Linked DNA regions of Caenorhabditis elegans. The protein of the gene in region 1 interacts with the protein of each later gene in a pairwise test. Each region holds a gene or a part of one and is shown in the gene's direction. Other genes may lie near its edges. The genes, in order: nhr-23, klf-1, F53H1.4 and ceh-51.

Region 1 (8,223 bases):
CGAAGAAGATGAAGAGAAGTAGGAGAACGCAGGTGTTTTGTGTTGTGTTAGTAGTGTATGCCATCTACAATTACAGTAATCCTATGAAATGAAACGGAAGAAATGGCAATGGACGGGACCATCTGCATGTCAAATTAAATGAATTGCTTTTTCTCCTTTTGAACTATTATAATTTGGATTTCGGGATTGTTTTTGAAGATTCTGTTTTTTGTGAAAAAAATTTTAAAATTTCACCAGACATAATCTCGAGTTTCAAATAAAGTTGTATGTTTATTGGATGATGAGAGCAAGCTCTAGATAGTTTTGGTTTGTAAAGATGAAATTAATTGATCTCTTAACCAGTTTATTCAATTCAATGCACAACATCCGAAATGGTATTTATGTTTTGCATATTGCATTTTCTTTTTAAGATTTGCACCGCCTTGCTCTATTTTGACAGTTTTTATCTCGGTTGATTTTAGTTTTATCTAAAAATTTTCAACTGGCATAATACGTACAAAGTTTTTTTAAATATGTTTTGATTGTTGAAGATTTTTGATAAAATTTATTACAACAGAAGTATAAGCCGTCAAAGTATAGCAATGATGTGCAAGTAAGGAGCACTGGAAAATACGGTAAGTTATACAAAATCTTTATATGTAGTAGAGTTGAATAGCTTTACTTTACAGAAGCTTTCATCAACTATATTAGAAGAAAACTTTCTAATCACTACCGCTACCGTAATCTTCCCGGTTGCAAAACGAGTAAGGCGTTGTCGGCTTTCTCGACGGGGTGAAAACAGGGGAAGCGTCTTGACTGATTAGTGATCGGTCGGGTTTTTGGTATTTTCGAGTCATCCCGACAGAGTTATTCCATCGTTCGCCACCACATCTTCTTCATCTCCAAAACTTCTTCACCGTTTTTGTGCGGCGACGATGCGATCTGGGAGGGCGCCGCCGTGATCGAGAGAACGGAGAGATAGAGGGGATGGGTGGGGACGAGAGTGTTGTGATGCGCAGACACACCGGATCGACGCATCCCTACCGGCGACGGCTACTGACCGGCCGGGTCACTTGCGTTCGGACGACGACATGCGAGGTAGGTCATCTCACGTCTTCTTCATCTTCTTCTTCTCTCGAAGATGTTGGTGGAAGGAGAGAGAAAGAGATGCAAAAAAACGGGGAAGGGCATGGCCCGGCGACCGGACCCGCTAACCCGGTCACCCCGTTTTCGGCCATGGCTAACCCAAAAAAGATTCATTTTTGCCGATAGGACAACAATTAATTCAGTAGTTCGTTTCAAGATCCATGATCCAGGTTCTAGGTTCCAGATTCCAATTGAAAGGTTTCAAAATGTGTTTGTGTTGTCTAACCAATGTTTACCATCTATGTTATGCACGTTCCACTGTTATCAAGTCTATCAAATTGATCAAAAATGCCTATATTTCACGGTCACTCTGCCATTGCCCCATAGTTGGACGAGATAGAGACCACCACCTTCCTCTACCGTAATACTCTTCAAAATGCCCTTTTGAAAAGATGAATTGTGAAGGAGGGAACAGCCCAAAATTGAAGAAAGAATCGACATTTCAACACTTTGAAATGATGTCGTAGTTCGTTTTTGGCTTCTTTGTGTGGATTTTGATTATGTTTCAGTTTTACAGTATCTTATACGCTTATAATTGTTTTTTTTTGGACTTTAAATTATTTTTACCATCACCGTATTTTTCTTTTCTTTAGCGCAACTTAAACTTATTTGCTTTTCCTTTCTGGTATTATACTGAGTTATTTATTATGTGATTCCTATTTATACTGTAGTTTTATTTATAAACAATTCCCGGTTCCTCCTTTGACACTTGAAACTTCTAGTTTAAAAAGTCTCACAGTACTGAAATCCATTACTCTACTTTGTCAATTTATATCTGGACTAATTTTACAAATATCAAAACACAGTCAACTACGAAGCAATTTGTGAATTGATAACTTTTCGATGAAACAAAATGAGATATAAGCTAAAAAGGATATGAACAATGTGGCTCAATTATAGTACGGTATCTATTTTGCACCCAGTACCAAATAAATAGTCGTACCCAGTAAATGGAGCACAAAAACCATGCTTCAGATTTTCGTGCGCCCTTTTTCATTTATGAGAAGATTCGTTTTCCCATTTTCTGTCGGATTAATACTGATTTGAAAATTTCAATTTTATTACTGTGTCTATTTTGCAAAAGTTACACTTTTCAGTTATGGTATATTTTGATATTTGAATTGTACTATTATTTTGTTATAACTCAACATCTTGAAACTGTGCAGGATATTAAAAATACTTATCGAATGGTTTTTTTCTTATTTGTGGTCGTGTTCTGTTCTTTTCCGAAACCACATTCCCTCTTTTGTAGATTAAGATCAGTATCTCAAAAAGATCTCTGATTTTCTCTCCCTCTTTCTCGCTTTACTTCTAGATATTTACTTTCACTATTTATTTTATACATCTAAATTTATTATGTAAGGAGCACTAAAAATAATTTTCTCCCCCTTACTAAATTTTTCCTTATTGGTCATAACTTCAACTCAATACGGACAGTCTTTATGGCCCGCACGAGTCAGTACCAGTGCGGCAGTTATAATAAGTATTAATGGTATCTCATCTCCTCATCGAGTTATTATTCCCAATTAAGTTCGTCTCACATCTTGACCTTGAATTCAGTTTTCTTTATTCCCCTTTTTAAGTTTACACTTACTATTAAATTGCAAAAATCTTAAAGCACAGCTTTTTGGTTTTTTTTACTTGAAATTACATTCTAATTATCTCACACAATGTACTTTATCAGTGACTAATGAGAGTGGGGGTAAGGGACACCTTTTCCCGTCCAGCCGCGTGTCACCGAAAACCGGTATTCTCTACCATTAGGTGGTCACTGTCGGTACCAGGTGCATGTTCTCGCTTCGATGGTCTTCAATGCAACATTTCAATGGTCATTTCGAGAGTTTAGCCAAACAACATCAAAACCATTTTCACTCATTTCGAAAATCTTGAAAAAAGGTTTTTAAGAAGATCAGGGGTCAAGGCACATCAGAGCGCATGGCATGGCCTGTAAGGTCACTGGCCCAAATCGGCACCTCACTTCAGTTCTCGAAATGTCATCGTTCGTGTAGTGAGTTGTTTTTCTGTTTACGTGGCACCTCGGCGGGTGTCCTGAAATCTTTTGATCTAACTCTAGACATTTGAAGCAATCCGTAATGTTCTAGCATACTGTAGGGATGTTTCAATTCAAAATGGAAGTTTCGAAGACTATCTAAGATGGCTGAAAGTTTCTGAAATTTTGCACATATTTTTAACCAGATTTCGGGTGTTCTTCACCGTTTTTGCCATCAAATTCACTTTTCCCAGTTTTCCGCGGCGGTACCATCACGTACTTGCTGTGTATACGTCTCCGTCTCTCTTTTGTCGTTTCGCATGATCAGCGGAAAGTACAATTTACGAAATTGCAACCTCCCGTCGTCGTCGTCGCTGCCGCTGCCGCCACCACCATCATCGCAAACCACGTCGTCTATATCCTGCCTCACACAGCGCGACGACGTCGACGACGCGGGGTCCTGTCACCTCCTGGCGGGAGGCATACCGTACCGTTCGCGCGCAACACACCGTGCACAGGTACCGAGGTCACTTCTCGAGATGAAGAAATAGCGCGGAGACGTACACACAATTGTCTTCTTCATCTTCTTATTCCTACGTCTTCTTCATTTCCTACCTTGTTTCTCAGTATTCCCATATCCTCCATCGTCACCGTCTCTTCATTCTTTCAAAACACTGTAATTGTTATGAGAGGAGCGGTGAGATGGGGATAAAGTTGAGAATAGGCAGGAAATGAAGGATGAGCGGTATGATGAGGAAATATGAAATATGTTGCGAATATATAAGACCTGATAATTGTGGTCCTAGGAAACGAGGTTGAAAATCGAGCCGATATAATAAAAGAGTTGGGGACGACGAGATTTTTATCTGAATCAGAAATGAGTGATGCTATTCGAAGTGAGATTGATATAGATTTTATATTCTTGCCGTATACATTTTCTGATTAAAATTTATGCACAAAAACATAAAGAACTCCCGAAGCATATTTCTCTTGGCGGGTTTTCGTCAAATTTTTCATTTAAAAATACCAAAAAGCTGAGCCATTTTTTTTGCGTTTTAGGCGAGACATTAAAATTTCCAGTTTCACCAAATTTCTTTTGAAGAATTCCATTTGCAAAACAATGCAAAAACAAAATTTTTTTGTTTTTTTTCAAATATTTGAACTTCTGCGTTTTTAATATTTATAAATATTAAAAACGCAGAAGGTACGGTGTGCTAAGAGTGTTTGCGGACTTTAGTTCATTTTATGTCGCCTACCGTAGTCCGCCTCGCTGATATTCGTTTTTTTTTAAATTCATTTTTGACATAAATATTTTGTTTTCAACCATTTTTCTCAAATTTAAATTTAGAATTCGAAAAAAATCTTACTATTCTAATCTAAAATATGCAATGATTCAATTTTTAAGGCTAATTCCCCCCCCAAAAGCAAATAACAATGAAAAAAAATGTTCAGCAGGAATTTAAATATTTATTTTGCGTGAATTTTTTTCCTAACTATAAGCTAGTTATTATGTTTAGATTATATCTTATTGATAAAACCTAAATAATAATAATAAGTCACGTTAAGATCCACGGCTGGTTTTTGTTTCGAAATTTCAATTAATTTCAATTTATATCCTCCAGTAACTAATAGGTGAGTTTCTTAAGCTCTGCGATTGCATGGCATTTCGTAAAAAAAAAACGTTTCGCAAACTGTTTCTAGACGTTCAATCTTTCCGCGTATCCTATCATTACTCGCTTAAATTGTAGTCCGCCTTTCTTGATTTTATCTTCAGCTGGCCTCGATCGCGACAACAAGCTCACAATTTTCCGATGCAAGCTGTAGAGCAGAAGTTGGCTGATGCAACACGAACTCTTCATGCAAAGTCATCTCTTCAACCATCACTCTCAATTGAAACTCCAAAAAGCAAGGAAAATGATGAATCTGGATGCGAGAGTTCAAATTGCATGTTTCATCCGCATACGATCAAATCGGAACCAAATTTTTGTTTTGCTCGGGAGTTTAAGTCAGTTCCCGATGATTTTCGTATAGGCGGCGGAGATCTTCAAATGGGAAACAATTCCAAAAGATTGACATGTGTTATTGATACAAATCGAGTCGATATGGCCGGAATTCTTCCTGATAATATGAGCTTCCGGGGACTTCCCGAAAACAAATCTCTTCTGGGTATGCACGTATTTTTTGTTCATTGTCCTACTAACCTTTAAAACCCTTGAAATTTGGAATTTGGAACCGAACTCTGAAAAAAAACACTCCAAAATTGTGATAAACTGAACTTTTTAAAGATTCTAAATTTACTTTTTCAGTATCAGCGCAGATAGAAGTAATACCATGTAAAGTGTGCGGTGACAAGTCGTCTGGCGTTCACTATGGAGTTATCACATGTGAAGGCTGCAAGGTATGCCTTTTTACCAGAATTACTTTATTTCTTATACATTTTTCAGGGCTTTTTCCGACGCAGTCAATCATCCATCGTCAATTATCAGTGTCCGAGACAGAAGAATTGTGTTGTTGATAGGTATCTCAGTTAGGAATGTTACAGAAATTTAATATCGTATTTTCAGAGTGAATCGAAATCGATGCCAATACTGCCGTCTCAAAAAGTGTATTGAGTTAGGAATGTCACGGGATGCAGTTAAATTTGGACGAATGTCAAAAAAGCAACGAGAAAAAGTAGAAGATGAGGTATTTACATTCCCAATTCTAAACTTCGTATTCATGTCATCGTTTTTGTCTGTTCAATCCTTAAAGGTTCAGGTTCGAATGCATAAAGAATTAGCTGCAAATGGTCTTGGATACCAAGCAATTTACGGCGACTATTCCCCTCCACCATCCCATCCCAGTTATTGGTAATTATCACCTACATTTTTCTGTCATGCAACGTCATTTTCAGCTTTGATCAAAGTATGTACGGTCATTATCCATCTGGAACTTCAACACCTGTTAACGGATATTCTATAGCTGTTGCTGCGACTCCTACGACTCCAATGCCACAGAACATGTACGGAGCAACACCATCATCTACAAATGGCACACAATATGTTGCACATCAAGCCACTGGAGGAAGCTTCCCATCGCCACAAGTTCCAGAAGAAGACGTTGCCACTCGCGTTATCAGAGCTTTCAATCAGCAGCACAGTTCCTATACAACACAACATGGAGTTTGTAACGTGGATCCTGATTGTATTCCTCATTTGAGTCGAGCTGGTGGTTGGGAGCTCTTCGCTAGGGAGCTCAATCCGCTTATTCAAGCAATTATTGAGTTTGCCAAAAGTATTGATGGATTTATGAATCTTCCGCAAGAAACACAGATTCAATTGCTGAAGGGAAGCGTTTTTGAGTTATCACTCGTTTTTGCTGCTATGTATTACAATGTAGACGCGCAGGCAGTGTGCGGTGAAAGGTATTCTGTTCCATTTGCATGCTTGATTGCCGAAGATGATGCCGAGGTATTTATTTTCATAGAGTAATATCGGCTCATACTCAATGTTTCAGATGCAATTGATCGTTGAAGTTAATAACACTCTTCAAGAAATTGTTCATTTACAACCGCATCAATCCGAATTAGCTCTTCTTGCCGCTGGACTTATTCTGGAGCAAGTGTCTTCTTCTCATGGAATTGGGATTCTTGACACTGCGACGATTGCCACTGCAGAAACACTGAAGAACGCGTTGTACCAAAGTGTCATGCCAAGAATTGGATGCATGGAAGACACGATTCACCGAATTCAAGATGTTGAGACAAGAATCAGACAAACAGCTCGTTTGCATCAAGAGGTATTATTTGCTGAAGCTTGGATATAAATAATCTGGAATGCTTAATTTTGAGGTTATTATTTTTCTATTTACAGGCTCTTCAAAACTTCCGAATGTCTGATCCAACATCATCTGAAAAGCTTCCTGCCCTCTACAAAGAGCTATTCACTGCAGATCGGCCTTGACTGAATCCATATATCATCAATAGTTTTATCCATGCTCTCCTTCCCTATCCCCGTCCATGAATCTCGTTTCCTCCGGTTATTTGTACAATAAGAGTAGACCAAAGCGCCGTTTGAACCCAACGACACCATTTTCTTTCCTTCTGTGATTTCCTTTCCCGACATTCCCCCCAAAACCCCAGTCGTTTCCATGTTTTATCAGAAAATTAATAGAAAAATAATTGTAGTCGTCTGTTGCAGGAGAGTTCCTCATTCTTTCTCTCCTTTTCCTGTTTTTAAAGTGATTTACTCGGATCTTCTTTACTTACTTGTTCTAATTTATTAATGACTTTTGTCACCCCCCCCCCCCCCCTCGTGTACCATGTACAATCATGTTGCGTTCCATGTTTTCTTGCATTTCATGTTCAGTAAAATTTCTGAAACCATACCAATCTCTCTCTTGTCTTATCATTTCTCTTCAGGTATTGATGCCTCTCCCCATCCCATCCCATACTCTTTTCGTGATCAACACGGGTACAAAACCACAAATTTCCATTTATCTGGATTTCTAGGCGCACTAATTTTTATTTTATTAAATATCTCCCCATTTATTGCCTTTTAAAACTCGTATCATTCCAGTGTCTGCGCTTTAATTACGCCTTCTTACCCATTTGATCCAACCATTTTCTCGTTTATGGTGTAGTGGTCGCTTGAGTGTTTCCATTGTTTCATGTAACATCCTAAATATGTTTCATTGTCATCAATGCATTCAGCTCCATACACCGACTTTTTAATTTATTTCACTTTCCTCTCGGTTCTACCTGCCCCACAACATCTTTCTCTGTTAAATATAATCTCTTTTTTTTTGGTTTTCTCAGTGATAAAACGTCTCAATTTTATATTTTTATTTTTCTGGTTATTCTCCGTAGAATTGTTCCTAATTAATATTTACTTTTTATTCCGATTATTTTCCAAAAATAGATACAACGCGTGAGTTTTAAGACGTGAGTTCTAATTAAATTTCCAACACTACTTTATGTTTCCACGAGGCTCTCGTTATCATAAATTTGTCCACTTTAGAATAGAATATACTCATATATTTATATCATTTTTTAATTTTTTACGAAGTACTTCATCAATGATTTTCGTAAGTTGAAATTGAATTTAAGCTTTAGATTATTTCTGGATCTA
Region 2 (9,383 bases), on another chromosome or scaffold:
ACCTAAAAGGCTTAGCCACACCCTTAGACCTTCTAAACCACCAGTCATTTTTCTTTTTCCTCTCCAGAAGGAAAAGAAGAAACCGCATCATCATCATCATCATCATCATTAGATCTTTCTTGTTCCCGTGCCCTCTACCACACCCTTGTCTCTCTGCTTCTCTGCACTCTCTCAAGTGACAGTCTCTTTGTGTGTGTGTGTGTTTGTATGGCCTGCTTGGCTCCGCCTATTTTGCACGGGAAACAGCAGACGGCGGCGGCCCGCGGGGAGACGCCCTGTTCTTCTCCCCCCACCACCATCCATCTAAGAAACAGTGTGTGGTATGTATTTTCGTTTTTTCTCTCATTCTGTGTCTTTCACTTTGCCCTTCATTGGAATTTTTGAGATTTCCTGGAAATCCACTTGAAACATTTTTTGAAATTGTTTTTTCTCAAAAACTATTTGAAAATTCCAAAATTTGCTAACCTTCAAAATGTAGCCCTTAAAATTATCTACAAATTATCAGTTGAAAGTATTTTTCTAGCTCTTCTCTCAACAGAGATATCCAAGTTTAAAGGTAACAGGTGTTAGAGTGGGAGGGGGAGAGACGCAGGCGGCGCGCGCACGCTGCGTCTCCCCTCACCCTACGCTCTCTCGCATGATATCTTCAAAGTGGCGTAACTCCGCGGAAAAATGAGCTAGATAACTTTTTTAAAAACCAACTTATAGGAAACTTTTAGGACTATTGATTTGCGTAGGCCATAAATATTAAAGTTTTTGCTCTCTCTTTTGTCTGTGGCCGTATCATTTTTCGAAAAATAGCTTCATTGTATCCAAAAGTTTAAAAGTTATAAAATTTTAGTCTTCAATTTTTTTTTGCATAGCTAGTTTCGAGATATTGCAAAATTTTACGAAAAAGTTCCAATTTTTTTTCAAAATTTCAAAATTTCAATGTTTTCCTCTTAATTTTTATAGTACACAAAACTAATATTACATTTTTTTTTCCAATTTTTACTAATCACATGACACCCCCACTATGTCTTATGATATTCCCGTAACTGCTGACATTTTTTGAAGTCCACAGTACAAAAGGTTGTGAAATTTTTCGAATTTTATTTTCATATCTTTGACCTTAAAAACATTTTAATTTGAGTTTCTCGATTTTGCGGAACACTAGAACTAAATTTCCCGTCGCTGTCACCGAGATAAAGACTCATTTCGATGCGGTTCATCAATTTTTACCCATTTTCCGCCTTTTTTACATAAAGAAGGCATTTTAAACACGCTGAGGCCAGTGTAGATGAGATATCAAACATAAGAAAAAAAGTTACCACAGTGGGGACTCGAACCCAGGTGTTGTGGGTGGTAGTCATCTCTGTTATCCACCAGGCCAAAAGTTCAACTATTATTTTTTAAATTTTCAAGTTTCGACACATTTTTAGTCTGTAAACAATGTGTAAAAAACCGAAAAAAAAAACGTCGACCACAGTGGGGGTCGAACCCCGGTGTTGAGATTACCAATCACCAGTGTTATCCACTAAGCCAAAAATTCAATGTTTCAAATGTTTTTCAAAATGATTCAAAAATAGCTGATATGGTTGTCAAATTAACGGAAATTTTATTGGGAACTCGAATTTTTATATGAAAATTCCGGAAAATCACTAGTTTTTATTTTCACAAATTTTATTTTAACAAATCCCGCCGAAATTTAGTGTAACTATCGATTAATTTGGAAGATTGTTCTTATATAGTTCAGTTCCTTTTTCATTTCTCTCTCTTCTTTTTTCATCTTTTTCTTGTTTCTTCTGTGCGTCTCAAACTAACTGTCACATCACATTTACAATCGACGTGTAGTTAGTTCTGTCTCATTAATACTTCTAGTTTTTTCAACTATTTTCACTTTCTATTCTCACTCTGTAAAATCGATTCGTTTTTGCTGAAAATTGTTTTTTTTTAATTTTGAAAATTTCAAAGTAAAAAATTAAAAAAAAACCAAATTTCAGTCCGCTACGGTTTGAACTAAATGTTGTTAATAAAAATCTCTGACATACCAAAAAAAAATTGGAAAAAAGTTTTGACCCCAGCGGGGGTTCGAACCCCGGTGTTGTGAGTCCCACCCATCCGTGTTAACCACAAGGCCAAAAATTTAATTTTTTTGAAAAAATCGATATGGGTCTCAAATTGACGGAAATTTCGTGGAAAACCCGAATTTTTATGTAAATATTTCTGAAAATCGATATTTTTCGGGAAATGAACTAAAATCTCGATTTTTTTTTGTGAATTTTCATTTTCAAAGTCAAAGCGTCTACCATGTCAATTTTCAAAGCATAAACAATGCAAACAAAACTCGACAAAAATTTTGACCCCATCGGGGATTCGAGCCCCGGCCTTGTGAGTCCCAGCCAACTCTGTTAGCCACTAGGCCAAAAACTCGAAATTGTTTTTTTCCAATTTTGCAAAAACGAAAAATGATAGATTTTTATTGATTTTTAGAGATTTTTCAAGAAATTCCTCTGATTTTCTAATCAAAAATCATAAATGTCACATGACACGTTCTCCTGTTCCCGTTCTCAGCTGACAATTCATTTTCCCTACCATTTTTTTTTCGGCCGATTCTGTGTATCTCTGCGTTTCTGTCTATTTCTTCATTTTCTTATTCCTTTATCAAGTTTTTTGTTTCGGTTTTTATCTTTTTTTTTTGTTTCGGCTGTGTGTTGAGGAGGCGATGCATTACCCTCGAAAATGTAAAAGACTACGCCTTTTTTGGAAATTTTTGTTGGGGTTTTTAGGGAAAAATCACTTTAAAAAATTTTTTTCATAGATTGAAAACCAAACTTAAAATCGAAATCTTCAAAAATGAGCAAAAGATCGAAAAGCAAAAAATTGAAATTTTTTTCAAAATTTTTTTTTTCAAATTTTTTCAAAAAATAATTATTTCAAAATTTTCTCAAATTTAGATTTTCTTATGTACTTTTTCACAATTTACCCATTTCCCCTCTAAAAAATCTATAAAAATATCGATTTTTGCAGATGTTTGGGCCGGAAGGCTCCGGGTCACTCAGCTCCTCATCAAGTACACTACAATTCAATTCCACGTCATCCACGATGACGTCATCATCGATAAATGCCACGTCATCACGGGAACCATTAATACACATTCCTAATAAACCATCATTATCAATTGATCCATTGGCGCGGGCGGATAGATCAGTACATTTGTCACCGTCTTTTTTTCAACCAGGTGAGAGATGTTTTTTTATTTAATACCATCACTGAAAATATGTTTTCCTGATAGAATAAATTTTGTTGTGTTTGCCATAGAAAAAATTAAGTGAAAATCTTAATTTTTCGCTGAGTTATCGAATTTCGAAAAATTACAAAAAATTTTCAATAAAAATGTGTCCCACCACGAAAACTATGACTTTCTAGCCCGAAATTTAAAAATAATCAGATTTAAAATTTCACGAGCTTTCAGAAAAGTATAATCATGGCTATGTTTCGAAAATTTCGAAATTTCCCCGGGAGTACTGTAGTTTTCGTGGTGGGACCTAAAATTGACGGAGCCTAGGCATGATGGGTGTCATTTGAAAGTTCTCAGTGTGCTAAGTTCAAATTTAACAGTTTTGAAGTTTCAAGTTCAAGCTGTGCCTTAAAAGTTTTGATTTTTTGAAATTTTTCGAAATTTTTCGAAAATCGATAACTCTGCGAGTTTTTAAGATATTTGAACTATTCCAATTTCAAAATGTGCAGAAAACGTTGAATTTTTTTGCAAAAATATAACCAAAAATCTTCAAATTTTCAGGCCTCTCCTCAATTTCATCTGAAAACGACGATGCTGAACAGCGGATACATGAAGCAACAAGAAGCTTTAATCAATTCGGACATCAATTTTACGAATCAATTCGGGAACTTTCCGAGAGCACAAGTGCCTACGAAAGGCTGAAGGCCAACGCGTTGAGGAGGAAGCTAGAAAATGTTCGTTTTTTTTTGAGATACAGCTATCTTGGTTATATTATGTTAGGCCTATGCACCTTTAAACTTTGATTTTCGTGGCGGGACCCGGAAATTAAATTTTTTTAAGACTCCCTCTCAAAACCTAGTCATGATTATACTTAAATGAAAGCTCTCACCCAGCTGAATTTGATTTTCATATTTTCAAGGTCCCACAACGAAAAACCACCAAAATTTCAAAGCTACAGTAGTCACATGTCCTTTAACCCTCTTATCTCTCAGTCTCTTTGTCACTCTCAATTTTCCCGCCTTTTTGGGTGTGGTTACCGTCTTTTCTTGATGTCGGCGGCGGCGACCGTCTTGTTTCGCAAGAAAAAGAAAAATGAGAGTGAGAGAGTGAGAGAGTACGCAGAGAAAGAGAGTAGGGAGAACATTGGGCGTTGGCGCCTCTCTTTCTATCTACCGAAACACATACATAAAGTGAGAGAGAGAGAGAGAGTGATTGATAAGATTGAGAGAGCGCTGAGAAAATAGAGAAAATCTAGACCGGATTGTTCATCTTCCTACGAAAGACTAATTAATCGATATTAGAATGGAACAGATTTCACAAAAAAAACTTTTATTAACCGCAAAATTTCGAAAAAAGACCAAGAAATAGATAAACATAAGCCTAAGCCTAAGCCTAAGCCTAAGGCTGAGGTTAAGCCTAATCCTAGGCTAAAGCGTATGCATAAGCCAAAGCCTAAGTGTAAGCTTAAGCAGGAGCTTAAGTCTCAGCCTAAGTCTAAACCGAAGCCTAAGCCTAAGCCGAAGCCTAAGCCTAAGCCGAAGTTGACTCCAAAGCCTAAGCCTAAGCCTGAGCTCAAGCCTAAGCATAAAAATCAGATTTAAATATGGAAAAATTGAAAAATCCTTTAAAAATGTGTTTTTTTTGCAGACATTTGGAAATGATAGCGGAGCAGCAACAAGTTCAAGTTCTTCATCGGTTTTCGAAAGACAATCGGACTTTTCTGCATTTGCACCATATAAAAATTCACATTTTGACTCAACTCAGAGCCTTTTCCAACCGACAACTTCATTTAATGACCGTCTGGAACAGATCAAAAGTGATTTTATTGCAGAGCATCAGAGTGGGTTTTATTTTTGATTGAAAAATCTGAATTCAGCGTTTTGAGAGCTTTAATTTAAGTATAATCATGCCAAGGTTTGAAAATTTTGAAAATTTCTTGGGTCTTGCCACGAAAAAGATCTGGGGTACTGTAGGTACAGTTTCCAGGCTGCGAAAAGTATTTTTGTCTGAAAGAACAATTTCTGTTGTGTTTGTCAAACAAAAAATCTTATGTAAATCTCAATTTTTCGCTGAGTTATCGATTTTCGAAAATTGTCGAAAATTTGCCCACAATTTTGGGTGCCACCACGAAAACTATCAGTATTTCTCACAAGTTTTCAAACTATTCGAATTGTAAATTTTACGTGCTTTCAGAAAAATATATATAATCATGACTAGGTTTGGAAAATTTTGGGTCCCACCACGAAAATTCCCCGGGAGTACTGTAGTTTTCGTGGTTGGACCTAAAATTGACGCAGCCTAGGCATGATGGGTGTCATTTGAAAGCTCTCAACGTGCTGAGTTCGAATTTAATTGTTTTGAAGTTTTAAGTTCAATCTCTGCGTTAAAATTTAAAGGTTTTCGATTTTAAATTTTTCGAAATTTTTCGAAAATCGATAACTCTGCCAGTTTTCAAGATATCGGAACCATTCCCATTTCAAAATGTGCAGAAGAAATCATATTCTTCTGCAAAAATTAAAAACTCAACTAAATTTATCACCTAAAAAAAAGAAAACGCCTAAAGAAAATTTCTTATCAGGGACACCCCTGCAAAACACCCTCCGAATTTGTAAAAATTGTCATATATTTTTCAGAGTCAATGTCGTCATTTTCCGGATTCAACACACCGACGACAGCTCTCGGAGCAGCTTTTCAGGGCATGCAAGTCAAGAAAAGTTTGTGATTTTTTTTCAATTTTCAATTTTTTAAACTTTCTAACTAATTTTTTTTTGAAAATTATAGAAAAAATTGAATTTGTCGTGCAAAGAGCTTTTGAATAACACCCATCATGACTAGGTTCCAGTGAGTTTAAATTTTAAAGCACCTATGTGCCTTTAAATTTTGATTTTCGTGGCGGGACCCGGAAGTGCAGGCTTAGAGGTCACTGACAAATATTTCATCTGTTCATTTAAAATTTTATTAGCATTCACGATGCCTAAAACTTTATATTGATCTTCAATTTTCAACTTGTTGGGTCCCGGCACGAAAATCTAAATTTAAAGGCGCATAGGGTTTGAAAATTTCAAACTTAACCTAACCTAGCCAAGATGGGTGTTATTTTGAAGCTCTCAGTGTGCTGAATTCATATTTTTAGTTTAAAGTGTATTGTATGACAAGAAATGAGAGATACTGTAGTTTTTGTGGTGGGACCCGGAAATTTATTGAAAAGTTCAAAATCGTCAGAACCTAGTCATGATTATACTTAAATGAAAGCTCTTGGCTAGCTTGATTCAAATTTTCAAAGTAAAAATCATTTTCAGGTGCGTTCGCTCCAGTCCTGCTTCGAGAAAATCTGGATACCCGGCGCCCCGGGGGCCATTTGATTTCCGACATTCTGAATCGAGACCCGCTTCCACAATCTCGAAATCTTAACCTGAATATGGCTAGAAATGTCCCAATTCGGCTGATTCATTCGACTTCAAATTTCGATATCGCTTCCTCGAGCTCCGGAGATTCAGGCCATCAGGATCATGAGAGTATTGTTGTGGAGGATGCTGACATGGATAGTCCGACAAGTCCGTGTGTCAAAAGATCCGCAATGAATTTTGATTTAAGAGGTAAGGTTTTGAAATTGCGGAAAATTTTTTTTTTAATTCTGGAAAAAAAATTTTCCACAAAATTTTTTTTCAAAATTTTTTCTTCAAAATTAAAAAAAGTCGTCAAACTTCACAATTTAACTATTCTCGGCTCGTCAAGATCCTTCAAATGACACCGATCTTGCCTTGGCCCCGCCCACTTTGGGTCTCACCGCGAGAACCAGAATTTAAAGGCGCATAGGGTTAAAAATTTAAAAATATGCCGAACCTAGGCATGATGGGTGTTATTTTGAAGCTCTTGATGAGTTGAGAGCGATAAAAACAAAATTAAGGTAAAAAATATTTTTTTAGTTCAAAAATAATTTTTCGAAAAATAACCTTTTTTCGCGTTCATCACATCAAGAGCTTTCGAATGACCCCCATGATGTCTAGGCTCTGCCCATTTTGGGTCCCACCACGAAAACTACAGTACTCCTGGGGAATTTTCGTGGTGGGACCCAACATGGGGAGAACCTAGCATGATGGGGGTCACTTGAAAGGTCTTAACAAGCTGACTACAATAAAATATCCAAAACTTGAAAACAAGATAATTATAATACCAATTTTGTGCTGAAAAAAATTTTCTCCAAAATATTTTTTTTCAAAATATTTTTTTGAAAAATCAAAACTTCAAATGTTTTTTAATTTTTAGACGAACCTCTCACAGTGAACGTAGAAAGTGTGTCATCAACATCAGACCTTCCCAGCTCAGTATCCAGCTCTGTGAACTCCTTCGTCTACCAAAACTTTGACCCCTTGGAGTTTAAGCGAAAAATAGACGAACTGACGGCTTCAGCGTGTCTAGCTGTAATGCCAGACGCAAATGGTCAAGTCGATCCGATGGCCATCAAAACTCAGTTGGATGCTATCAAAAAACAAATGGAAGAGCATCAAACCCACATGGCAGAAGCCTCGCAAAGACTCCACGTGGACTCTTCCCTCGAGGATTCAAATTGCGAGCCGAGCCCGAGCTCATCATATGATGCTTCTGAACCATCTGTCAAGAGGCTTCACCATTGCACACATCCGAATTGCGGGAAAGTCTACACGAAAAGCTCACATTTGAAGGCTCATTTTAGAACTCATACAGGTAATACTTTGTTAATTGTACTGAACAAAATATTTTCTAGATTGAAAAAGCAATCATTACACCCAGAAAAAACCAAAAACATGCAGAAAGAATCGAACTTGGGACCTTCTGGGTCTCAGTCATCTCTCTTACCTATTGCGCCACCAGCGCCGTCGCGCCCAGCAACTGGCGCGGCACGCAGTGCGCGCGTGGCGCAGTCGGTAAGATGTCAGACTATGACCCAGAAGGTCACAGGTTCGATTCTTTGTCGAAGGATATAGGTTTTTCTGGATGAAAAGTTTGAAAATTTCAGTTTTAAATCTTGATAACTTCTCTTTAAAGTTGTTTTTAGAAATTTTTTGATGAAAAAAATCATTTTTCAGGTGAAAAACCATACGAATGCAGTTGGGACGGGTGTGATTGGCGATTTGCTAGATCTGACGAGCTAACAAGGCACTATAGGAAACATACAGGTAATTTTTGAGTGAATTAAAGGCGCATACACCTAAAAATTTTCAAATTTTCCCAAACCTAGTCATGATTATACTTAAATGAAAGCTCTCGTCGAGCTCTATTTAAATTATGCACTGCAATGCTAAGAAAAACAAAAATAATTGTTTTTTTCAGGAGACCGCCCATTCAAGTGCTCTCAATGTTCACGTGCCTTCTCCCGAAGTGATCATCTCTCACTCCATATGAAACGCCACTTCTAATCAAAAAAAACATGGTGCAACAGATTAACTAATTACGGGTTCCCAAAATGTATTTCTCAACTTTTTATCCGGTCATTACATTTTTTTTGGAAAATTTTTGAAAAAAGTTTTTTTTTTCAAAAATTTTCAAACTTCCCGCCAGTCACGTCTCAACATCGTGACGTCATTTTTACAGTTTTTTGAATGTTTTCTTGCTCAAAAAATGCTTGGTATCATCACTAAATACGGTCATATTAATTTTTGTCACATTTCACTTTCCCCCCCCCCCCCCACGTGGAAATCAATAAATACATATCGATTTTTTTTTCTGTGTTTTTTTTTTTGATTTTTCAGAGATTAGTAATTTGAAAAAAAACCAAATTGGAAAGGTTTTGAGCCTTTCAAAATTATTCAAAAATAATTTTTGGAAAAAATTTTTTGAAATTTTTTTTTTGAAAATTTCATTATACTTACTATTAAATTATTATTTTCATGTTTTCATATTCACAAAATGAAGAATTCCAGTTTTTTCTAAAATTTTAGATTAGATTTTCAACTATTTGGAAAAGTTGAAAATTGAAAATTTTCGAAAAAAAGCTGGTTTTTTTTTTTGAAATGTTTGTCTTGGAAAATTTGTTCTATTTAGTTTTTATAATACATTAAGTTGAAAAATTATTTTATTTGACAATTAATAACCATTTTGGCAATTTTTCAAAAAAAAAATTCAAAAAGAAAATTTCCAAAAAAAAATATTCTTCGAATTTTTTAAATTTTTTTGAAAAAACTTC
Region 3 (6,121 bases), on another chromosome or scaffold:
GTAGAGCCTCTAAGGGACTCAAAAAAACCCGGTTTATCGGATTTTTTGGCAATTTCGTATAAAATGTCCACTTTCCAGATTTCCCACAAAATGGAAGGTTTTTAAATAATTTTTTTTCAATTTTTCTTGATTTTTTCCGAATTTTAATATAAAAATTCCCGATTTTCAACTTCTCCCGCCGCACCTCAATATAGAAATTCTTCTTGAATTTCCGATAATAGACCTTAGAATGGTCAGTTTGTGCCAACATTCGTCCTTTATGACATAATGATGCTGCAGCCGTCTCAATATCAAAATCATCAATAACCATATCCATATTATCCTCATTTTCCAGCACTTGTCCCTTTTCGGGCTCCGGCTTCTCCTCCTGCACAATTGTCACAATTCCAGACGCTTTTTGCGTGGAGTTTCCGGTTTTTTTGGCGTTTTTAGTGGCAATTTCTTTCATAAAAGCGTCCAGAGGGTCCTCTTCGTCGTCTGTATCCATTTTTTCGACTTTTTCTTCCATTTTCACCGGGTTTTCCTCTGAAATTCCCTCATTTTTGATATCAAATTCGTCTTCATCATCCTCATCCTCCAGATTCCAGGGCTTTTTCTCAGATTTTTCATCAGATTGCTCAGATTGTAGATCAAGCTCTTCCTTCTTCTTTTGGGCTCTCCACTTCTCCACATTACGACGCCTACGCTCGACTCCCTGTAGTAATTCGGCTTCTTTCATTTTCATAACTTCTTCGGTGTCTGCAAATTGATAAAATTAAGGGGTTTTTTTGCAAAAAATTGAGAATTTGGGCTTTTTCACACTTTTATGGGTAAAAGCCGGCTGGAAATTCAATTTTTTGGGTGAAATTTGAGAAAACTCACTAAAATGTTAGGTTTTTTCGTAACAAAAAGTTGAAAATTGGCCTATTTCTTGCGAAAAAAACATAAAATTCACACTTTTCTGGGTGAAAATCGTCTAGAAATTCAGTTTTTTAGGTGGAAATTGAAAAAAAATCGCTTAAATTTTTATGTTTTCTTGGGAAAAAGGTAAGAACTCTATGGATTTTGCATGAAAAGTTCATAAAATTCACATTATTTTTTGCAAAAACCATACAAATCAGTGGAAAATTGGAAAAATCGCTTAAAAATGCATTTTTCTGGGTGAAAATTAGAGTTTTTTTTTCGCAAAAAATTGAGAATTCTATGGATTTTGCATGAAAAATTCGAAAATTTCGCACTTTTCTTGGTGAAAAATCGCCTAAACTTCAATTTTTCAACCAAAAACCTTTAAATTTGAACAATTTTCGGCTCTTTCTGTTGACAAATTTGAATTTCAACGGTATAAGGCGAAAATTGAATCAAAAATTCAATTTTTCTATCCAAAAATTGTCCGAATTTCGCTTTTTTTCTCCGGAAAAATTAGAAATTGCATGAAAATAGCAAAAATAAAAACGGCAAAAATAGCTGAATTTTGATGCTTTTGGCATGAAAATCGGCTAATTTTTGCGATTTTCAGTTTAAAAAGTTTTTTTTTTTTACCTTAAAATCCTATTTTTAGGCTGAATTTCGTTCAAATTTCCCAGTTTTAACTCAAAAATTCGAAAATTGGGATTTTTCCAGGCAAAAATTTGCTTTTTTTGGCTTTTTATCGATTTTTTTTGCCAATTTTTTTTGCAATTCCTTACCATTCCGTGACTCTTCCATTTCAAAAATCGCCGTTTTACTCTCTTTTTCCTTCTTTTTCTCTGCATCTCTCTGCTTTTCACGATCTCTCGTCTTCTCCCGATCAGTGTCTCGTTCTCTGCGTCTCTCCCGATCCCGATCTCTGTCTCGATGTTCCCGGTGCTCACGACTGCCACGTGGCGAGCGGCTCCGGCTTCTTTTTCGTTCCTTTGAACGGGAACGCTTTCGTTTGTGCTCTTTGTGCTCGCCGCGACCCATCGAAAACTGGAAAAAATTGGGGATTTTTGGATTAAAATTGGGAAAAATACGATTAAAGTGTGCGAAAACAATGAAAAATCACTGGAAATTCGTTAAAACCTTCGGATTTTTATAAAAGAACAATTTTAATCATTTTTAATTTCAAAAAGTGTTTTAAAATCCAGAAAATCTGATTTTCTGCCTATTTTCTGGCCGATTTATCGTTTTATGTAAGTAATTTGACTTCAATCTTCACTTTTTCACTTAAAAAACTTCGAAAAAAGCGAAAAATCTATGGAAAATAAAATAAAAACCGAAAAAAAAAAAGAATTTCGAAAATAAAAATTTTCCGCACTACGACACTCCGAAATCCCGCCGCGCGTGTTGTTTAGCGCTTTTAAAAATTGGCGCGAACGCGCAGGTGTTCAAACACTGTCCGTCGATTTTTCTCGCATTCCTCACAATTCTGTCGCTTTATAGCCGGCTTTCGCGCAAATTTTTGTGTAAATTACGTTAAAGTCACTTAAATTCAAGTTTTCCAGTGCGAAAAACTAACAAACTACTTGTTGCAACTCGGAAATTCAAAAAGTTGATTCGCAAATGAGCCAGCGATCATTTGGAAGTGAAATTGGAAATATGACGGCTGCTACGAATTCGAATGATATTGCGGAGTAAGTTTAAACGTGAATTTAAATTTAAAATGTTTTAAATAAAAAAATAAATTTTTTTTTAACTTATTTCTCGATTCTCCAAAATTTTGAGAGTTCTTTTTATTGTTTCTGGTGTAAAATTCAACGTTCTCTTCATTTTTCACATTGAAAACCCGTGAAAATCACTAAAAACCACTGGAAATTCATGAAAATCCAATAAAAACCAATGGGTGTGCAAGCGCGCCCCATTGCGAATATTTGAATTGTTTTTCGTTTTCGACTTTTTTTCTCCGAATTTCGAGCCAAATTTCTCTCTTTTTCCAGCGTTTCGCTCGCCACACCACTAAAATCGACGGAACAAATGGAAAAGTCGGAAAATGGGACAGGTTAGTGCCGAAAAATCGTGAATTTCCACCCGATTTTCACCTAGAAACCCGAAATTCCACAAAATAATGTTTCTTTTTTCAGCCGTCTCCCGCCTCCCAAAGCCACTCGCCATTGAAGTTTACTCGAAAGTTCACAATAGTGAGTGAAAAACCCAGAAATTGTGGATTTTTCATCAAAAATCTCCAAATTTTCGCTAGAAAACTAGATTTTTCGCGGAAAAATCCCCCAATTTTCAGGCAATTTATCAGAAGATGACCTTCTCGACGAAATTGAAGACCTAATTGATGAGAAATTCTTTGCCGGAGAGAAATTAATGAGCTCTGGCAAAGAATATACAGTGGTTTCCAGTGAAAAACGCGGTGGGCTCACACTTTACACAATGGAGGACGGCACCAAAATTGGACATCGCGATTTGAGGTGAAAATTGATGGAATTGCATGGTTTTCGGTGGAAAAATGTGGCGAAAAACCGTTGAATTTCGCTTATAAATCGGAGTTTTAGGCCAAAAATGACTAAAATCGTTAAATTTTCAGATTTTTCATGCAACAAATTTGAAAATTCCGCATTTTTTCTTCATTTTTCACCCAAAAAAAAAACCACTAAAGTTACAGGTTTTCATGAAAAATTGCTTATTTTAACCGAAAAATAACAAAAAATTGATTTTTTAATTCATTTCCCACGATTTTTACTTCAAAATTATCATTTTTAGGTCATTTTTTGAATTGAAAAACGGATTTTTAGATCTTTCCTGAGCAAAAATGGGGTTTTTTTCATTGAAAAATCGAGAATATCCCAATTTTTTAACCGGTAAATACGCTGAAATCGTGTTTTTCAGCCAATTTTAGACCTTTTTAAGTGAAATATAAAGTAAATCCACAAAATAGCTGCAAAAATGCGTAATTTTCAACATTTTTGCATGAAAAATCCAAAAATTTTCATGTTTTTTGATTAAAAACTCATAAAATTCGAGATTTTTGGACGGAAAATGCTTTAAAATATAATAATTTCACATAAAAAATGCTGAAATTTTTCATTTTTGCTATAAAAAATTTGAAAAATGTCAATTTTCAGCCAAAAAAGGGTCTCTCAGTGGGCGAAATTACGAAAAATGGCCATTTTTGCACTAAAAATCCCAGAAAATTCATTAAAATTTCCTCGAAAACCCGAAATTTCCAGTGAAAATTTATGGAAAATTAGTTTTTTCGTTCAAAAATTCGATTTTCCAGACAAAATGTCCACAAAAATTTGATTTTGCGGTGAAAAGTGTAAAAAACTGCAATTTTTTTTTTCAAAAATCCGTTTAAAAAGAGTCTGAAAAAGTTCAAAGATGTAATTTTGGATGAAAATTGTGTGAAATTTCACAATTTGGCGCTTAAATTGTCTCAAAAATAAGTGGAAATTACACTTTTTATGAAGAAAAATCCAAAATTTTAGAGAAAAAACCCTAATTTTCCCTCAATTTTCAGACGAAAAAAGGGTCTATCAGTGGAAGAAATCAAGAAAATCGCCATTGAAGATGCTGAATTTGTGGATGAAAAGCAGTGGAAAGTCCGGGAAGAACTGCTCGCCGAGAATCCGATTCGTGAAATTAAAAAATATGCTCCAATATTCTCAGCAAATCGGAAATCTACGCCGAAAACTGCTCAGCTCAGTGTGGCGGCAGAAGCCGATGATTCAGATGTACAAGAGGTGTCAATGGATGCTGAAAGTGGAGCAGAAGCTGCAAATAAAAGTGCTATGGTACGGGAAAATTTCGATTTTTAGCTGGAAAATTGAGAGAAAAATCTGATTTTTCGGAGAGGAAAAGTAAAGAAAAATCAGGATGTTAGCTGAAAATTGAAAAAAAAAGTAGATTTTCAGCTGAAAAATTGACAGAAACGCTATTTTTGTAGTCAAAGCTCGATTTTTCGTAGTAAAAATACAGAAAAATTAGGATTTTTCCTAAAAAATTGAATAAAACAGTGAAAAAATCGTGATTTTGACAGAGATCAACTAAATTCCGATGATTTTTAGCTTTAAAATTGACAAAATTTGTGAGAAATTAGATTTTTCGACTGAGAAATTGAGAAAAACGCCATTTTTCATAGTAAAAAATGAGGAAAAATGGGATTTTTATTTGTAAATTTCTGAAAAAACGAGAAAAATTGGATACATTTTGTGAAAAATCGAGAAAAAAACCACATTTTACAGTGAAAAATTGACTAAAATCTCGCAAAAATCGCCAAAATTGTGCCAATTTTCACCAAAAACTGTTAGAAAATATAATTTTTTAATGTAAAAATTGACAAAAATCATGCGAAATTTCCAATTTTCTGAGAACTTTCTGTTGAAACTTGTGAAAAAACCGAAAATTTTTGCAGAAAACTCCACGTGGAGCTCCGCGAGCATCTGGAGGCCCTGTGATCCTCTCGAGCCGCCGTTTACAAGAAAAACAGAAGGAAAAAGATGAAAAAGAGAAGGAAAAACTGGAGAAAAAGCAGAAAGAACAGGAAGAGAAGAAGCAGAAAAAAGAAGAGGAAAAGGCGAAAAAACTGAAAGAAAAAGAGGAAAAATTGAAGGAAAAAGAGGAAAAAGCGGCACGAAAAGCTGAGAAAAAGGAGAAAAATAATGGAACTATGGACAAATTTTTGAAAAAAGACACGGGCTCACCGAGCAGCAAAAATGCACCGTTATTCTCACCGTCGAAATGGGGAGAGAAGCGGATTGCTGTCGGAGTGAAAAAGATGGAAGATGCGTGGAAACGGCGCGATTTGGAGGTAAAAATGCAGAAAATTTGGAAAAAAAATGGAGCCAAAATGAAAACTATGTTTTTTTTTGGTTGAAAATTGTCTAGAAATTGCTAAAAATGGCTTAAATGTCCCTAAAAATCAATCGTATTTTGACTAAAAATTGTTTTGAATTTGAGAAAAAGCGCATTGAATTCGCTAAAATTAGCCAAAATCGTCTTAAGATTGTCATATTTTTGTGTGAACTTTTTTTTTTTGAATTGACGAAAACTCCTTGAAAATTGAGAAAATTTGGAAAAAATGAGCCAAAACGCTTTGATTTTGAACAAAAAAGGCTCAAAATTGTTCAAAAATCGTTAAAACTGGCTTAAAATTGCTTGAAATGCCTCTGAAATTTTGTATTTTGACTGAAAATTGCCGGAAAATTGTGAAAAAGTGCAAAGAATTCGGCAAAATCAG
Region 4 (5,756 bases), on another chromosome or scaffold:
CAAAATAGCTTTTAAGATCAACTTTGACGTAGAAATTTCCAATTTTTTTTAATGGAAATCAGTTTTTTCTGCAATTATAAAATTTCAGAAAATTCAACTTGAATTTCAATTTTCAGGTGATTAAAGATTAAAGATTGAAGGACGATCCGTTCTTCAAGTGCTATGCACTGCGGATCTGGGATTCAGGTACACTGCCTGGTGGTGATGTGAAAATTTCATTTGAAAATTCGCAATTTTTGCACAAAAATCCGATTTTCAGGAAATTTATATGAAAATCTCAATTTTCACGAAAAAATTCGCAATTTTTCCTTAAAAAATTCCGATTTTAATGAAACTTATATGAATAATATAAATTTTGAAAAGGAAATTCGCAATTTTTGTACAAAAATCCGAATATCATCAAATCCGGCTTAAATTTCAATTTTTTCGTGAAAATTTGCAAATTTCGCACAAAAATTCAATTTTCGGCAAATTCAAACGTGAACATTTGAATTTTCACGTAGAAATTCGCAATTGTTCGAGAAAATCTGAATTTCAGCAAATTCAGCTTAAATTTCAATTGTCCGGTGAAAACTTTTGCAAATTTTATATGAAAATTGGCCAATTTCGTACAAAAATCCGATTTTCAGTAAATTTATACCAATTTTGATGTGGAAATTCGCAATTGCTATAACTTTCTTTCTGAAAAATCCGATTTTTAGCAAATTCGGCTTAAATTTCAATTTTCCTGTAAAAATGTGCAAATTTCGTATGAAAATTCGCAATTTTCACACAAATTTCGTTTTTCGGGAAATTCAAAATGAAAATTTCAATTTCCATGTAGAAATTCGCAATTTTTCGGGAAAAAAAATCTGATTTTCATGAAACTTATATGAATAATATAAATTTTGAATTGGAAATTCGGAATTTTTATAGGAAAAATCCAAATTTCAGCAAATTCAGCTCAAATGTCAAATTTTCTTGTGAAAAGGTGCAAATTTCATATGAAAATTTGCCAATTTCGCACAAAAAATCGACTTTCGGTAAATTTATATTTAAAATCTCAATTTTCACTTAGAAATTCGCCAATTTTCCGAAAAAAATCTGAATTTCAGCAAATTGAGCTCAAATGCCAAATTTTTCTTGTGAAAAGTTGCAATTTTCATATGAAAATTTGCCAATTTCGCACGAAAAATCGTTTTTCGGTAAATTCAACCGTAAAATTCTTAATTTTCACGTAGAATTTCTCAAGAATTCCCCAAAAAAAAACACGCACTGAGCCCTGGCTCTTCCCTGTCGATCCAACTGCACATTTGGTACACTAAGCCTGACTAATCTCGCAAATAACGATTGTTCCATATTCGAATATTTCTGGAATGCCTGATTCTGTACAACTGGCGGCAGCTGATGATGATCTCCAATCATAATCCATCGTTTCAGTCGATTGTGTCCGTCTTGTGGATTTTGTAGTAACAATGGGATAAATGTTTCAACTTCAAGAATTTGAGCGGCTTCTTCCATTACGATATTATCGTAGCGGAAGCCGAGCTTCACGAGCTCATTTCGACGGAGAGCCGCGTGTGTACAAGTCATTGCGATGATTTTTGCCTCTTTCACCTGAAAAAATCCAGGATTTTTATAATTTTCAGAGTGTTTTTGTTGTAATTTCGTCGAAAAACTCTAAAATTTTCAAATTTAACATTTCGAAATTTGAATTTTAATTATATTTTTTCTTTTTTTTGCAAAATTTTGTATATTTTATTTGAAATTTGTTGTAGGTTGTAGTTTAGGGAGCACTATATGCCTAGATTCGATATATTTTTTTGCAATTTTCAACATTTTTTCCAATATCTTATTGATCAGATAATTTTTATGTCAGTTGTTTTTTTCTTTTTTGCTTTTTTAAAAGTTTTAAGTAGGCGGGCAATTGTTGTTCGGAAAATTCGGCGAATTCCGGCAAGTTTTTACCCGTTTGCCGGAAATGTTCAATTCCGGCAATGTGCCGGTTTGAAGGAAATTTTCAGTTCCGGCAATTTGCCAGAAATTTTAAATTCCGGCAAATTTTTGCCGGTTTGCAGGAAATTTTCAATTCCGGCAAATTGCCCATTTTGCCAGAAATTTTCAGTTCCGACAATTTGCCGGAAATTTTCAATTCCGCCAATTTGCCGATTTGCCGGAAATTTTCAATTCCGGCAAATCGCCCATTTTGCCAGAAATTTTCAATTCCGGCAGTTTGCCAGTTTGCCGATTTGCCAGAAATTTTTAATTCCGCCGGTTTGCAGGAAATTTCAAATTCCAGCAATTTGTCGATTTGCCAGAAATTTTCAATTCCGGCAACTTGCAAATTTGCCGGAAATTTTTAATTCCGGCAAGTTTTTGCCGAATTGCCGGAACTGCAGTTTTTGACTGAAATTGGCTTAAAAATAAGCTTTTCAGACCAAAATTTCTACCGTAATCCAACACAAAGTACCAAAACTGCCAAATTTTGGCATTGTCCGATTTGTACGAAAAACTACAAGAATCAATCGAAAATTCGCTTTTCCGTGGAAAAACTTCACATTTTTCCAGATTTTCAGACAATTCTGAAGAACAGCCGGAAAATCTCACCCAATTCCCAGGTATCTCACCTCTCCGGTGTCACCTTTTCCCGGTCATGTCTCCCGCCAAACAAAATCGCACCTTCTCGCCTCCCCGCCTACCTAGGCAGCAATGCTCCGCCTAGATTTACAGCCTCCCCAGCTGGAGAATAGCCACTATAATTCCCCCAATTCATTCCACACAAAATGTCATCATCCAACTATAATATTAATAACGGCGGTGACTATTATCCTTTGTCTTCTTCGAATCTTAATTCAACTTCTGCTATTACTAATGCTACTGTAATGGAATATTCCACAATGCCAAGCAGCTCTCCGGGCTCAATGAGCTCATCGCCAGCCTATCCGGCGGCCTATCAGGCTCCATCACCGTGCTACGTGGCGGATCCCAATCAGCTTTACTATCAACAACAGCTGGCTCATAATGGGAATGATATGTTGTAAGTTTTTTCGATACTTTTCAGTACAAAACGGGCGTTTTAGAGTGATTTTCACTACGTTTTTCTACCGAAATGCGTGAAGAACCGCTAATTTTAATGGGGTTATTCAATTAGCGTCGGAAAATTAAAAAGTGTAGAAAAATTACGTCACAACTGTATTAAAATACATTTAAAAACATGTATTTAAATACATTTTGCAAGTAACATTTCTTGAATAACCCCATAAGTTTTGACAGTGGGAAATTACTCAAAATATAGCTTTTTCACACTATATGGCCGCGAACGGGCATTTTTAGCAAAAAAAAACTTTGTTAGCTGCTTTGTTGCAATTAACAGCTCTAAAAATTCCAATTTGAACTATTTTGGTAGCTGCAATTTTGCAATTAACAGTGTCGAAAAGTCCAATTTGCACAAATTGGGCAAATTTGGTAGCTGCTTTTTTGCAATTAACAGTGGCCAAAATTCCAAATTTAGGCAATTTTGGTAGCAGCTGCTTTTTTTGCAATTAACAGCTCCAAGAAGTCCAATTTGCACAAATTGGGCAAATTTGGTAGATTTATTGCAACTAGCAATGTCGAAAATTCCAATTTGAACTATTTCGGTAGCTGCTTTTTTGCAATTAAAAGCTCCAAAAATTCCAAATTTATGCAATTTTGGTAGCTGTTTTCCTGCAATTAGCAGTGTCGAAAAGTCCATTCTGAACTATTTTCGTAGCTGCTTCTATGCAATTAAGAGCTCTTAACAATCCAATTCAGGAAATTTTGTTTGCTACTTTTTTTGCAATTAACTGTTTTCAAAAATTTCAATTTTGAACAATTTTCGAAGCTTCTTCTTCGCAATTAGCAGTGGCCAAAATTCCAAATTTAGGCAATTTTGGTAGCTGCTTTTTTTGAAATTAACAGCTCCAAGAAGTCCAATTGCCACAAATTGGGCAAATTTGGTAGCTTCTTTTTGGCATGTTAAATTTACAGCGGCAAAAATCCCTATTTGGAAAATTTGATCACTGCTTATTTGCAACAAAATTCATCTCCGTGATCGCTTTTCTTCCGAAAATTCCTTTTTTTTTACAGAGTTCAAGCCCATGCTCAAGCCTACCAAGCTCAATGCTTCGCCTGGTTCCAGCAGCAGTACTCACAACTCTCCCCATCCTCGTTTCCTCATCCTATGGTGGCTCATCACGCTGGCTTCATCCCACCACCGCCGTCTTTTCTACATCATCAGCATCAGCAGCATCCAAGAGCTCCTTCAGAAAAGCGGAGAGGCGCTCGAACTCCGTTCTCCGATTCTCAGCTTTACGCGTTGAGAACCAGATTTGAGCAGTGCGACACAATAAAGGTTGACGAGCGACGGAAGTTGGGAGCAGTCATCGGACTTTCGCCCGAGCAGATCAAGATTTGGTTTCAGAATCGGAGATTCAAGTTGAGAAAGGAGAAATACAAGCAGATCAAGCAGGACGCTGTGCAGCAACAGAAATCGGCGAAGGAGGAGGCGGAGGAGGACCAGAAGCATGTTATTTCTTGATTTGTGTAGCTTTTTGTCACTTGTATTATTGTGTGCCCCCAATAAACGATGTTCGATTGAATTGAAGAAAAAAAACCGCGAAATTTGAATTTTCAGTGTTTTTGAACCTTTTAGAACATCAAAATTAGTAGAAATTCCACAACTTCAAAATTTTTGTCTCAAATTTACAACTCTCCGAGCATGTGTATTATAGGCGGTGTAGTCGATTTTTTTTATTGCTTCATTAGACTCAAAATTGTCTGAAAACACAGAATTTCATAATGAAACTTTTTTGAAAACTTCTCAAAAAAAAATTATGACGGCTCAAAAAATGGCCAAAAATTCGTTAAAATTTCAAATTTGACCGACGACTTGTCAATGTCGTAACGGCTGAAGGCAATTTTTTTTTTGAAATCACCGTCAAATTTTGAGTATACAATGTAATTATCTTGCGTTTTCAACTTCATTTAGGTATTTTAAAGTCCATGGACTACGGCGAGATTTGGTTTTAAAAATTTAAAAATCTCTTCGTCCATCGATTTTAAAATACCTAAATGGAGTTGAAAACTCAAGATAATCATGCTGTAAACTCAAAATTTAACGATGATTTCAAAAAAAAATGTTTCCAGTCGCTGCGGCATTGACAAGTCGGTCAAATTCAAATTTTAACGAATTATAGGCCATTTTTTGAGCCGTCATAACTTTTTTTAAAGAAGTTTTCAGGAAGTTTTATTATGAAATTCGGCGTTTTCAGACAATTTTGAGTCTAATGAAGCAATAAAAAAATTCGACTACACCACCTATAATACACATGCTCGGAGAGTTGTAAATTTGAGACAAAAATTTTGAAGTTGTGGAATTTCTACTAATTTTGATGTTCTAAAAGGTTCAAAAACACTGAAAATTCAAATTTCGCGGTTTTTTTTTCAATTCAATCGAACATCGTTTATTGGGCACACAATAATACAAGTGACAAAAAGCTACACAAATCAAGAAATAACATGCTTCTGGTCCTCCTCCGATTGGTATTAATATAATATCGACATCGAAAGTAATATTTTGAAAAACGGAATAATAAAAAAAACGAAATAACATAAAATTCCCAATTTTTTCTCCAATTTCTCCTTACCAACAAGTACTCCGTACGATCTCTTCCATTCCTGAGCAACTCAAACGCTCGGAACTCGTCGAGCTTCTCGAAAATCTGCTCAATGTGTCGCCAGCAAGAGTGGGCAACTTT

What was found.
Region 2: the proteins of nhr-23 (region 1) and klf-1 interact in a two-hybrid assay, tested with the Caenorhabditis elegans proteins (one large-scale study listed by BioGRID).
Region 3: the proteins of nhr-23 (region 1) and F53H1.4 interact in a two-hybrid assay, tested with the Caenorhabditis elegans proteins (one large-scale study listed by BioGRID).
Region 4: the proteins of nhr-23 (region 1) and ceh-51 interact in a two-hybrid assay, tested with the Caenorhabditis elegans proteins (one large-scale study listed by BioGRID).

Annotation. Positions count from the first base shown.
Region 1 is NC_003279.8:7,213,897-7,222,119, forward strand, and holds nhr-23 (Nuclear hormone receptor family member nhr-23), read left to right. Parts: upstream 1-2,887; 5' UTR 2,888-3,065; coding exon 3,066-3,133; intron 3,134-4,889; coding exon 4,890-5,281; intron 5,282-5,421; coding exon 5,422-5,513; intron 5,514-5,559; coding exon 5,560-5,633; intron 5,634-5,679; coding exon 5,680-5,800; intron 5,801-5,866; coding exon of another isoform or gene 5,867-5,872; coding exon 5,873-5,964; intron 5,965-6,008; coding exon 6,009-6,564; intron 6,565-6,610; coding exon 6,611-6,892; intron 6,893-6,966; coding exon 6,967-7,056; 3' UTR 7,057-7,332; downstream 7,333-8,223. UniProt on the Caenorhabditis elegans protein: Orphan nuclear receptor. Transcription factor. Modulates expression of target genes, such as Period protein homolog lin-42 and microRNA let-7, by binding to hormone response elements (HRE).
Region 2 is NC_003281.10:2,871,809-2,881,191, forward strand, and holds klf-1 (Kruppel-like factor 1), read left to right. Parts: upstream 1-3,009; 5' UTR 3,010-3,084; coding exon 3,085-3,220; intron 3,221-3,781; coding exon 3,782-3,954; intron 3,955-4,867; coding exon 4,868-5,060; intron 5,061-5,853; coding exon 5,854-5,934; intron 5,935-6,519; coding exon 6,520-6,816; intron 6,817-7,486; coding exon 7,487-7,924; intron 7,925-8,106; exon of another isoform or gene 8,107-8,180; intron 8,181-8,286; coding exon 8,287-8,376; intron 8,377-8,523; exon of another isoform or gene 8,524-8,530; coding exon 8,531-8,616; 3' UTR 8,617-8,868; downstream 8,869-9,383. UniProt on the Caenorhabditis elegans protein: Transcription factor which modulates genes involved in lipid metabolism and the phase I detoxification pathway, including cytochrome P450 oxidases.
Region 3 is NC_003282.8:1,307,725-1,313,845, forward strand, and holds the start of F53H1.4 (PHD-type domain-containing protein), read left to right. Parts: upstream 1-2,441; 5' UTR 2,442-2,499; coding exon 2,500-2,570; intron 2,571-2,873; coding exon 2,874-2,935; intron 2,936-3,017; coding exon 3,018-3,074; intron 3,075-3,172; coding exon 3,173-3,353; intron 3,354-4,402; coding exon 4,403-4,676; intron 4,677-5,296; coding exon 5,297-5,692; intron 5,693-6,121. Other genes in the region: ddx-46 (RNA helicase), read right to left, coding at 185-738, 1,665-1,920.
Region 4 is NC_003283.11:18,871,371-18,877,126, forward strand, and holds ceh-51 (Homeobox protein ceh-51), read left to right. Parts: upstream 1-2,762; coding exon 2,763-3,016; intron 3,017-4,086; coding exon 4,087-4,537; 3' UTR 4,538-4,612; downstream 4,613-5,756. Other genes in the region: emb-4 (Intron-binding protein aquarius), read right to left, coding at 1,256-1,596, 5,646-5,756. UniProt on the Caenorhabditis elegans protein: Required for mesoderm development, including specification of muscle and coelomocyte precursors.